Linked DNA regions of Mus musculus. The protein of the gene in region 2 purifies or fractionates together with the protein of the main gene of each other region. This does not show direct contact. Links are inferred from orthologs where the notes say so. Each region holds a gene or a part of one and is shown on either strand. Other genes may lie near its edges.

Region 1 (4,448 bases), on a different chromosome or scaffold from region 2:
CAGCCTGGTCTACAGTGTGAGTTCCAGGACAGCCAGGACTATACAGAGAAACCCTGTCTCGAAAAACCAAAAAAAAAAAAAAAAAAACTGGCCTCAAACTCATAATCCTCCTGCCTCAGGCTCCTGAACGTTAGGGTGTAACGCTCCTGAACGCATCATTATGTCCGATACTTGGGGCTTGATACAGTATAGTATAAAATAAAAGAACGGGTTTTATGATCCCATTAGCCCCATCACAGGTGATAATAATTAATGGTATAATTATAATAAATCTACTTAAGTCTTCAAATATGCCTTAATCCCACTGTGATTTAGAAAAACATCTAGAAGAAGTGAACTGTTTTGGCAGGCTGGAGCTCAGAGCTCAGGGTTGAACAGTCTACAAAGCTATTGTTGTCTGTGACAACTTGACTTTCTGGGAGGCTGCAGGCCAACACTCTGCCACCGAACTACACCTTAGCCTCTTCACTGTTGCAGTTTACATATAACTTTGATATAAACCTCAAACAAAATTACCAAGTGCCCAATCCACACACACACTTGTTTTTTTGAGACAAGATCTTACTAACTATAGTTATAACCTTTTTCTCAGGAGAGACTGAACCCTCAATTTCTTGCATACATTTCCAGAAGTCTAGAGAGAAGTCACTAAAATCCACTGGTTTTCTAGTCGGTGGACCCCGAGTAAACAGGTGTAATACGGGTCAACCGTGAAGGCTTAAGAGCATCCTTAGGATAGAATACGTGCAATCTTCTCTTTGAGAATGAGCTTAGCCTGCACTGTCATCGTATGAATAGATAGAAAATATTTGTTTATGTGCCTGTAACAAAAAATGTTTAAAGTAAGATAGAGTATTTCAAATAGTGAGAACGGTTACCTCCAAAGACTCCTTGTTCAAGCCACAATACCACTCTCGCCAAAGTCCGTGGCTCTCTGGAGATTTTGCCAGTACTATGACTGCATTATTTAAAGAAACGCTAGTCTCGGGTTCTCTGGTACTCAACTTATTCTCTGGAGCAAACTGCAAAGTGCAGGAATAACCCGAGTCTTGTGTAGAGAAGCACAATTCGTAACCGACGGGGCTTAGATGTCCGTGAAGAGTTTGTGGCAGAATCCCAGGCACTTGGATGAGCAAAGTCAAGGAGTCTTCGTCCTGATTACACTGTAAAGGAGGGCACACGGGTGCGATGCTCTCGGTTCCGGGGTCACCCATGGCTGAGCCCGCGGTGTCGTGGCGGGTCCTCTCCTGCTCCTCATTCGTCTGGACACCGGGGTCTCCGCACAGGGATTCGGTGTCGCCGCCCGGGAAAGCAGAGTAAGGGAGGCTTCGGTCCCCAGGAGAAGTCCCTTTCCCGAGGTCTAGAGGTGCCACCGAGTCCCCTCCGAAGTCCTGCTCCGGTTCGGGAACGAGCTCCCCTTCAGCGTGTGCAGCCCCGGGGTCTGGGGCTCCCACACCGCTCTTCTCCCCGTGGTCAGCTCCGGTTCCATCTGCAGACTCTTCCCGCGCCGCTGCAAAATCGCCCGCGGAAGTGCGGGCTACGTCGTCAGTTCCGGTCTCCTCCGCGGGCTCTTCCGGTGTCGCGGCCGGGGGTTCCTGGCGCGCGTCGGCCAGCGCCACCGGCAGCGTGACCACCAGCTGCCGCCGCGCCTTGTTGTACTGTGCCTTGCCGCGGCCGTCGTCCACCGGGTACGGCAGCGAGAGCCGCAGCCGGTAGTCGGGGTTTCTCGAGTCCAGGCACAGCAGCTTCCCCTTCACCTCCAGCTCCGCCCGCTCGACCGAGCGCAGCAGCGGCAGCTCGATGGTGACCACCAGCTCGTGCGGCACGGTGCTCGGGGCCGCGTCGCGCGAGCAGCGGTAATCCTGGAGGTCTACGTGGTGGCGCTGCACCACGGAGCAGCGCGGCTCCGTGGGCTCTGGGCGCTGCACGGCCTCGGGAGCGGGGGACGCGGGCGAGCGGGCAGTGTTCGCCGCCGCTGCCGCGGGGTAGCGGTATGGATATGGTGGGTCCGGGAAAAGCCCTGGTGGCTCCCCCTCGGGCTGGGCCGGGACGCCCCCGGGTAGGGGCGTGCGGAGCACTGCGGCCTCGGGCATCCCCTTGTACTTGATCTTCAGGGTCTTGGCGTTCCTGCGGTCCAGCCTGACGCCGAACTGCTGCTCCACCGCCTCCAGGGCCGTGGCGTCCAGCATTTCGCGGAAGCGCTCGTGGCTCCGGGCCAGCGCCAGCGCTTCGGGGTGGAAGACCACGTCGTAGACGGTGTAGCGGGCGCCGTTGCGGCCGGCATACTGGCGGCCGGGAGCCAGGCTATAGGGCAGGGACCAGTGGCTGCCAGCTGCCGTGCCGCCGCGCCCCGGGCCGGGCCGGCTGCTAGGTACGCCTACCAGTGAGTTGCTGCACACGTTCACGTAGCAGCGGTGCTCCCCGTCCAGGCTGGTACGCAGCACATGGCCCGGCTCAGGGTGCACGAACCGCACATCCACCCCACGCTCCCGCTCCAGGGCTGTGATCTCCTCCTCGTAGCGCCTCCGGTTCTCGGGGTCCGTGATCTCCGCGGCGTACTCGGAGAACATTCGGCGGAACTCTGGGTCCTGAAAGGCGGAGGTGAACCGCTGCACCTCCTCTCTGCTCAGATCCAAGTCCTCCAGCGCTGAGGAGGCCGCCGCCTTGGCCATGGTGACCCACACGGCCCAATGCCCAGACCCAGTGAAGGATCAGGGTGAATTGAGTGTCTAGGATGCGCTTCAGAGTCTGGCTCATGGAGAACTGACCAGTCCAAGAAGGTAACGGCTGGATTGTCAAGGCCGGGCAGCGCGTGCTTTGTTGCCATAGTAACGCCTGGGAGGAGGGGCAGCGATCTGGTAGAAATGCTAGAAATAGGCTCCACTGTTACTTCAAACCAAGCAGACACTACCTGCTACAGGTTTTAAATTACTGTGTCAGGATACGTGTACTTTGCAGTCTATTGTGGTAACTGTCCTCATCTTCAGCGCTGTGTCTTTATCTTATTAACTGTTTAATTTCACCAACAAGAGAGAAGTTTACTAGCTAATTCACAAACCTAACTTTATCTGACTCTCTTTACTTTGTGGAACCAACGTTAGTAAACCCTTACCATTTTCAGGTATTCCACCTTATAGTTGTCTCCCAGAAACCCTTGGGGGCAAAAGATGACAAAACAAATCCCAGAGATTAATAAGCATCAGAAAGGTGTTCGCTTTTTATAATGTAAATGCAAGCTCTCAAATCACTTAGCAAAATTACAGTTTGTCCTGATCAATTTCCTTGGGTTGAGAATAGAATTTATAACTGCGCTTTTTTTTTAAACTAGATATCCTTAGATTGACTCTGTAGTCTCTTAACAATGCTCCACTAGGAACCAATGCAGCAGATGTAGTAGTTACATAATGGAACTTTACTGTGCCAGACTATAGAAACTTGGTTTTGTTACAGGGCTAGGTGTGGGATCCAGGACTTCCCACCTGTGGCCTGAGCTGTACCACTGAGCCACACACCCAGGTCTAGGGTATGGTTACTTATTGATTGCTGGGCAGTCCCAGACCTGTTTTACAAGTGCAGCATTTAGCAGTTTATACTGGCATTACTGCAATCACAAGACCTTTCCCAGGCTTCTCTCTTATGCCTCCTCCTTTTGTGGGAGGGAATGTCCACAGAACCACACCCAGGGCCTCACACCTGAGACAAGCATTCTTTCCACCAATCTGCAGGCCTTCCTCTGTTACATTTTAAGTAGACTGTCCCAAGATTGGGATGACACCTCATCTCCGTTATGCCATCTCTTTCACATGCTAAATATATGTACTCAACTACCATGGTGACTCTGAGTTCAAGGCCAGCCTGGTCTGCAGAGCAAGTTCCAGAAAAGCCAAGGAATCCAGAGAAACGCTGTCTTGAAAACCCAAAACAAGTAAGTAAATAAAACTCAAATAACCAACTTCTGTTTCACATTCTAAGCTTATAGACTCATCAACTGTCCATCAGATGTCTCCATTTGAGTAATAACTGCTTAAGCCCCAGAGGCCTGAAATGGCGTGACTTCCCTTCCTCTTTCATTTTCAGCATTCCAAATTCTTGTTCTTTACTTTCTTTGCCCTTCCTCTGTCAGCTTCCCTATTCATGGACTTGCCAGTGCTGCTCATCTTCCCTCTTAAATGTCATCTGTTACTGGATCAGTCTGCGTCAGATATTTATTGCGTACTCTACCTGTGTAAATAAATAATGTACTTTTTGAAATTTTATCATTGTATATGTGCATGCATCCACCGTGAACGCATGTGTAGGTCAGAAGACAACTGGGAGTTCCTCTCTCCCAGCGTGGGTCCCAGGAATGGGACTCCGGGGGTTAGGCTTGTGCACAGAAAATGCTTTTATTCACTAAGCCATCCTGCCAACCTGGTAACATAATGTTAAACCACTAGAAGAAAGAGAGA
Region 2 (3,648 bases):
CTCGTAGAAGCTAACCTGTCTGCTGAATGAAAACATATCTATGCAGTGTTTTAAAACCAACCAGGTTTCATACAACAGCTTTATAATTTTATCCTCATATCCGTGAGCCGGACATTTATGGTTAAAGAAACGAACTGGGCAGTTTGGGGGAAATCTCTGCACCTTCTGCTCAAATTTGCGACAAGGCTAAACATCCCCTAAAAATTAAAGCGCATTTTTAAACATACTGTTAAAAGAAAGACATGAAGGTTTGAGAAAGGAGAGTGATACAGCACACAGCACACAGCTGCTAACTGGCAGAACTGTTCCAGACCCTGGAATCTCTCGACCCCTCCAGGTCATTGATTGCCTAACTTTTCACCTGGGAAAAGTTCAACTAAAAAAACGTCAAAGCCCTCCAGGAGTGCCGCTCCTACTCACGTGGGCTGGATTCAGCCTGGACCCGCAAGCGCAGATGTAAACCATCGCCACTGATATACTGCAGCCCGCCACACGAGGAAGGTACAAGTCTGACCCCTGCTGGAAGTCGGATCTCGGTGCAGCCGTCAGGGGTTCTCACCAAAAGAGAGGTGGGCGTTATGGAAATGTCCAGGTGCATCCCTCCTTCATCTGGCCCACTGATGACACAAAATAAAAGCCAAGTGACGACTTCTCTCTGATGAAAGGCAAAGCTTACAAAATCCAAACCTTAACCCAGCATAGAGACCCTAAAATCCTTGTCCCAGGAAAACAGAAACAGACCCTGGGAGACAAGCTGGACTAGGTTAGATCAGGCAGGGCTTGCAGCCATCACCACGTGAGATTCCCAGGTCATGTTTTTAACTCTTGCTTCTGAGAACAGCATTAAAGTCAGAAAATCAAAGTACTGCTTAGCCGGTAATCAAGATTGTCATAAAAAGTCACAGATGTCAGCAAGGTTTCTGTAAAAAGTCAGAGAGTAAATATTTCCTGAGTTCTCCACCAGCCTAGGACCCACAGTGAGAACTTATCTCAAACAACAACAAACGCCCCAAACAACAGAAAAAAAAAAAAAGCCAGTTCTTAGTTCACAGGCTGTGCCAAAAGAAGCCATGAGATAGCTTGGTGTCCACCTTGCTACTGCAGTATTTTTGAAGCACAGTTGGCACCTAGAAATGTCCCCCCAAAACACCACTGGTAACCTGAGCCCCCACTGCCCCTGCTTCTGCCCCTGCTTCGGATGGCTAATCTTCTCAGTTGTGAAAAATTCAACCACTTACACAGAGCTGACTAAAGTGCACACACACTGTCAGCATTGCACATAACACCCAAAACATCGGGTTGTGTGTCTACAGTCCTCAACTGTACTGCTTAGGAGATCTCAGCGCGGGAGGAAAGTTTACACACACATTCAACACAGATGTAAGTTTTCTTGTGTTGATTTTTCAGCTGAACTTGTAAATCTGACTGGCTGTTCCATGAACCACACGGTCTCCATAAGATGATGTGTAGGAAGGCAGCTGGGGGGGGGGGTCTCCTTCTGCTTGCATCTCACTCATCTTAGTGGTTCCATCCTCAAGATCTCTTAGAGGCCCTGCCTCCGAACAACACCTCTGTGGGGAGTTAGAACTTATACCCATAGATTCCAAGAAGACTCTTGGTCTATAAGAAGGTTGCAGCATGTAGAGGGGAGAAGAGGGAACAGGAAAGAGCCAGCGGAAGCCTGGTTGCATAGAAGACTGACCAGGGAGATAAACATCAGGAGGCTAATGGGAGACGGGATTTATACTGTGCAAGAATACAGTTACATGGAAACAAAGGGAGGATGCTAGAATGGACCTGTGGCAGTGGGCTAGAATTAGGGATACCTCTATGAGATCATGGTTTAGGATGTGCATAGCTACAGAGATATAAATAGGTGGGAATGAATGTTTGTGTGTTAGTCAACAGTGTCATCTATGTGCCAGAAGTCTAAAAGAAATGACATTCCAATAGTAATGAGCACCAAATCTTAGTCTAGAAGGACAATTTTCTATTTAAAAAGAAGTCCTGGGGATTTAATTTGGTGGCATATGCAAGGCCCTAGGCTAGATTCCCAGTGTGTAGTTGTGCACACACACACACTATACATGCATACATGCACGCTTTTTGAGACAAGGTCTCAAGTGTCCCGGTCCAGACTCACACTCAGCTATGTAATGGAGGATGACCGGGAACTCCTGGTGCTCTTGCTTCTAAATCCCAAGTGTTAGGATTACAGGCATGCCCTGCCCCACGTAACCAGTACACACTCCTTGGAATGTTTTTAAAAGGCAAAACAATAAGGTTGCTTGAGAGAAAACTACATCAGGACTAGAGTAGAAAGAAAGAAAATCAAACTAGATAAGCCTATACCATACTACTGAGCACCAAAGTAAAGAGGCAGACAAAGGAAGTGAGAATGTCCTGTGTAGAGACTCCACTTTCAGTGTCTTGGGGCATTCTTACTATTATTATTCAGGGGCCACACCCTCCTTAAAGCTACCCAGGACAGCACATCTCCCTGAAAAGCAGCTATCGTCCTTAAATGCCCCATAAGACTTAGTGCTATACTTCTAGATTCAGCTTCAGCAAGTTCTTAGACACTGGATACTAACGAAACAGGACATCTGCAACTCTTACAGGCTAAATGTCATGGTGAAAATATTTATCCAATGCTGCAAACCAAGACCTTTTGTTTATTTTGTTACTAGAAATAGGGTTAATAAACACTTAGACATGAGGTAATCAGTGTGTTAGTCACCTTACTGTCACTGTGACAAAGCGTCTGAGAAATGCAACTTAAGAAGAAACTTGCATGGTATCTCCAGCTTCAGTCATTCTGGACCACAGCCTCTAAGGCCTGTTGCCTTGGGTCCGAGGAAAAGCTGAATATTACGGTGAGGAGCATAAGGCACAGCTGTTTGCCTCGTGGCAGTCAGGAAGCAATGAGAGCTGAAGAGCATGGGCTGCTTTTAACCATGATCCGCCCCTCACCGTTTCCATTTCTCCCAATAATCCACTTAGCTATGAGTCTATCAATGGGCTACTCCGCTGATGAACTTAGGACCATCAAAATCATGTCACCTCTGAACACTGATACTCTGGGAGGTCAGACTTTCAACACATGAGCCTTCTGCACACTTCAGATCTAAACCCTATCAGCCCCACTCCTTCAAGCTTTCTTCTGCTTAGCATCTCACAGTGCATACCTCATTCCACTCAGTGTGTTAGGCAAATGTTACCTCTCATTTAAATAAAAGACTTATTCTCTACCCCTCACTTCATTGTGGTTTTCCAGGTATTTCTCTCTATTTAGTATACTACTTTATGGTTCTTATTTTACCCTTTGTTTTTGTATTTTTCTCTGGCCATTATTCATTCATCCACTGCTATTATGAGCAAGAATGTAAAGTGGTGTAGAGACTATAGAAATTAGTATGAAATTTTTTCAAAAACTAAAATTAAAGCTATGACATGACTAGGCTATATTATTCCTCTGTGTCTGTAGTTTGTGTATGTTTGTGTATGTGTGTATGAGTGTGGGTGTGTATGTAGGTGTGAATATGTATGTATGTGTGTGTGTAAGTGTGTGTGTGAATGTTTGTGTATGTGTGTATAAGTGTGAGTGTGTATGTGGGTGTGAATGTGTATGTGTGTATGTGTGTGTTT
Region 3 (3,648 bases), on a different chromosome or scaffold from region 2:
GCAAGCCCCTTTCCCCAGAGCTAGCTTACTGGCTCATTACTATTGTTTTCATAATACTTAAAGATATAAACAAGAGCTGGGCAGTGGTGGTGCACGCCTTTAATCCTAGCACTTGGGGGCAGAGACAGGCGGATTTCTGAGTTTGAGGCCAGCCTGGTCTACGGAGTGAGTTCCAGGACAGCCAAGGCTATTCAGAGAAACCCTGTCTCGAAAAACCAAAACCAAACCAAACCAAAAAACCAAATATACTAATACATAAGGAACTAACACAGTATGTGTTTACATCTCTATCTATTAAAACTTAGACATTTACTATGACTTTCTCCTCTGTGAAAATGATGTTTGCACTGTTAATTTAATAACAATATAAAGAATGCACCATGGGTCAGGTACTGTGTCAAGCACGCCATAGTCTCTCAGTCTTTCTGCACAATGACCTTATAAAGTGCTATTACCCTTATTTATAGAAAGCACAAAGAGGCTCCACAACTTGCCAGATACACAGCAGGCAAAAGGAGGAGTTAGGGGTTCAAGGTCAGTCATCATATGCTCAAGCCTGGCACTCAGGCTACTGGAGTGGCAGCAGAAACAGAGAGAACACTGGACTAGGTGAGTCTGGAGGAGTCTGCAGAGTGAGGAAACTCAGTGCAGTGGACCGAAGTCAAAGGGGAAGAGCAAAGGTTAAACCAAGTGCAAGTAGAATGCTCTGTTCACAAAGGAACACAAAGAGCTGGGCTGTGGCAGCCCTGTGTGTTTCATGCAGCTTTATCTACACATGCCATTCCCAGACTAACCACGTGAGGTGGCTTCAGAGCACGAATAAATTCACTGGTTTGCTGGTAATCTGTGTGAGCAGAGAAAGAAATGTAATCAACCGACATTTTCAGTGGCAACTTCTGTCCAGACATGGTCGTGATTTCTTCAGGTTCAGACATGATGTGCTGTTGGAAACAAATACAAGAAAAACAGACTTTGCAATTAGATAAATGAAGGTGCATTTTGGTTACGTCTTGCACAATCACGATCTCTAACGTTAACTTTGTGAACTGTACCGTGAACATCCTTCTGATGTCCTTGACTTAGTCAGTACTAAACGCTTATGGTTTTTATTGAGTAAATATTTAATCGAAGGTCAGACACCTCAGTAGGATCCAGTGCATTCAGCGCTGGAGGGAAGCCTGTAACGTAAACAAAGCTGCACTTGGCTCTGCTACAGCAGCTTCCCTGCAGAACCCACAGGACAGACACACCTCTAGTCTGGAGCCAGCTAAGCAAATGACCAGCAATGATCAGCAGGCTCTCTAACAACTTCATAGAATGTGGCAAAGGAGGAAAATGATCAGAACAAGAAACCACACTCTATTTTTAAATTAAAACAGATGTTAGCAGCAAGAAGACAAGAGAACATGCTTGCCTGGATGTCCATTAGCCTTTAAAGTCCTGCAGTGTACTCTATAATGTGTACATCCTACATGCTAAGAACAGCCATTTTATACCAAAATAGAGATGGCAGTCAGCCCTGGCGCATTATACAGCTCTGTAAAAGTCCATGTCATGGTTGTGCGCCCCTCATCTGAGAAATCTAGTAATTTTGAGCAAAAATGTCTGGGGAAACAACTGGTAAAGCCTATGCAAATAACCCCCAAGCCCAAAAGCAGAGCCTGAGCAGGAGCTCCGCCAGCATTCTCCATGAGACATGGGCTCCCATCCCAGGATGGTACTGACCTTGGCAAGTGTCCCTTCGACACAGTACCCCGCGATGATGACGCCATTCCTCTTATCTGTACACCAGCTTTCAAACAGCTCTCTGGATAAGCCGTTTTGAATCATGCCTGGTGAGGCCATCACAACACTGGGGCCAATGTCATCAAAGTGATCCATGCTCTGAGAGACAAAGGGTTAAAGGGTCACAGTCACCAGCCTGGTCAAACAGTCTCCTCGTAAAGTAATCACACTTCTGCATGGGCCATGGTGAGACTAGCTGGCACTGTGTTTAAGTGCCACATTACAAAATTAAAATGGATCCATCCTATAATTACCCTCCAAACGCTGACACCATTGCATACACTAGCAAGATTTTGCTGAAAGGACCCTGATATAGTTGTCTCTTGTGAGACTATACTGGGGCCTAGCAAACACAGAAGTGGATGCTCACAGTCAGCTAATGGATGGATCACAGGGCCCCCCAATGGAGGAGCTAGAAAAAGTACCCAAGGAGCTAAAGAGATCTGCAACCGTGTAGGTGCAACAACATTATGAACTTACCAGTACCCCGGAGCTCTTGACTCTAGCTGCATATGTATCAAAAGATGGCCTAGTCGGCCATCAGTGGAAAGAGAGGCCCATTGGACACACAAACTTTATATGCCCCAATACAGGGGAACACCAGGACCAAAAAGTGGGAATGGGTGGGTAGGGGAATGGGGGGAGGGTATGGGGGACTTTTGGGATAGCATTGGAAATGTAATTGAGGAAAATACGTAATAAAAAAAATATATAATTAAAAAAAAACAACAACAACAAAATTAAAATGTGCTGGGCATGGTGGAGAATGCCTTTAATATCAGTACTCAGAAGGCAATGGCAGGCAAATTTCTGAGTTCAAGGCCAGCCTCGTCTACAGAGTGAGTTTCAGGACAGCCAGGGCTATGTAGGGCTATGTTTGTCTCAAAACAAAACAAAACTAACCAAACAAAATTAATGATATTTGAAAAGCATTTAATCATAATATACTTTAAATTAAATTCGATTCTATTAATTGATATTGGGATGCAAACATGGGAGTTTTATTAATTCCTACATGGAATTTGCAGTGCTAATCAAAGAGGATCAGATGTGAACAACAAAATCTAAATCTGTAACCTGCCATATTTTTCCTGTCAGGACTTTCTTCCTATAGCAGGAGAGACTCAGGCTTTCTGCTGTGCACTGAGGGAATATGGAGACGCCGAGCAAGGGCAAGCCTGGCTCCAGTGCGTCCCAGCACCATGAAGCTGGCTGGAGAGCAGAGAGCCTCAGCAGCAGTGTGGCCACCCCTCACCACTGTGCGCCCCGCCGTGCCTCCCTCCTCCAAGAGCGGCACCTTGAGGTTGCTGATGTGCTTGAAAACAAAGGGGTTGTTGATGTTGATCTGCTTCCGGATCTTGTCGTTCATGGCATTCACGTAGGTCTGGTACACGGCCATGCACTTCTTGGCCAGAGACGATGCGTAGTAAATGGGTATGTCATGCAGCTCCGGGTGGTTCTGCCAGTACTCATCTGCAGAGGTTTCACAGAGGAAGCGTCCCTCAGCAGGCAGTAACAGTAACTACAAAACATCTGAGCTGAGTACCGTACAACTGTATTTTAATGAGTTTATCAAAACTACCCTGATCATTACTAAACTACAAATCTACCTAGCAATATAAAATCTAAAAATAAAACAAAGTTGTGTCAATGATCAAAAATATGGAATCTTTAACAGCTGCTTCATTTTATATTTATACTGATTAATATTTTGTTTGTTTTGTTTTTTAGAAATTGGTTTCTCTGTGTGGCCCTGGCTGTCCAGGAACTCACTATATAGACCAGGCTGACCATGACCTAACAGAGGGCTACCTGCCTCTGCTTCCTGAGTGGTTGTGCAGGTCTTAATGTAATTATTATTTC

The links.
Region 1: the proteins of Ube2cbp (region 2) and Dnaaf2 purify together in Homo sapiens (affinity purification with mass spectrometry; 4 studies listed by BioGRID and IntAct, counting the BioPlex papers as one, with this or other methods). This does not show direct contact. The link is inferred for Mus musculus from reciprocal best matches to the Homo sapiens genes UBE3D and DNAAF2.
Region 3: the proteins of Ube2cbp (region 2) and Cpsf3 purify together in Homo sapiens (affinity purification with mass spectrometry; 4 studies listed by BioGRID and IntAct, counting the BioPlex papers as one, with this or other methods). This does not show direct contact. The link is inferred for Mus musculus from reciprocal best matches to the Homo sapiens genes UBE3D and CPSF3.

What each region holds. Positions count from the first base shown.
Region 1 is NC_000078.6:69,195,614-69,200,061, forward strand, and holds the start of Dnaaf2 (protein kintoun), read right to left. Parts: upstream 2,817-4,448; 5' UTR 2,673-2,816; coding exon 879-2,672; intron 1-878. UniProt on the Homo sapiens protein: Required for cytoplasmic pre-assembly of axonemal dyneins, thereby playing a central role in motility in cilia and flagella.
Region 2 is NC_000075.6:86,451,394-86,455,041, forward strand, and holds part of Ube2cbp (E3 ubiquitin-protein ligase E3D), read right to left. Parts: intron 618-3,648; coding exon 421-617; intron 1-420. UniProt on the Homo sapiens protein: E3 ubiquitin-protein ligase which accepts ubiquitin from specific E2 ubiquitin-conjugating enzymes, and transfers it to substrates, generally promoting their degradation by the proteasome.
Region 3 is NC_000078.6:21,299,652-21,303,299, reverse strand, and holds part of Cpsf3 (cleavage and polyadenylation specificity factor subunit 3), read right to left. Parts: intron 3,259-3,648; coding exon 3,083-3,258; intron 1,885-3,082; coding exon 1,726-1,884; intron 942-1,725; coding exon 795-941; intron 1-794. UniProt on the Homo sapiens protein: Component of the cleavage and polyadenylation specificity factor (CPSF) complex that plays a key role in pre-mRNA 3'-end formation, recognizing the AAUAAA signal sequence and interacting with poly(A) polymerase and other factors to bring about cleavage and poly(A) addition.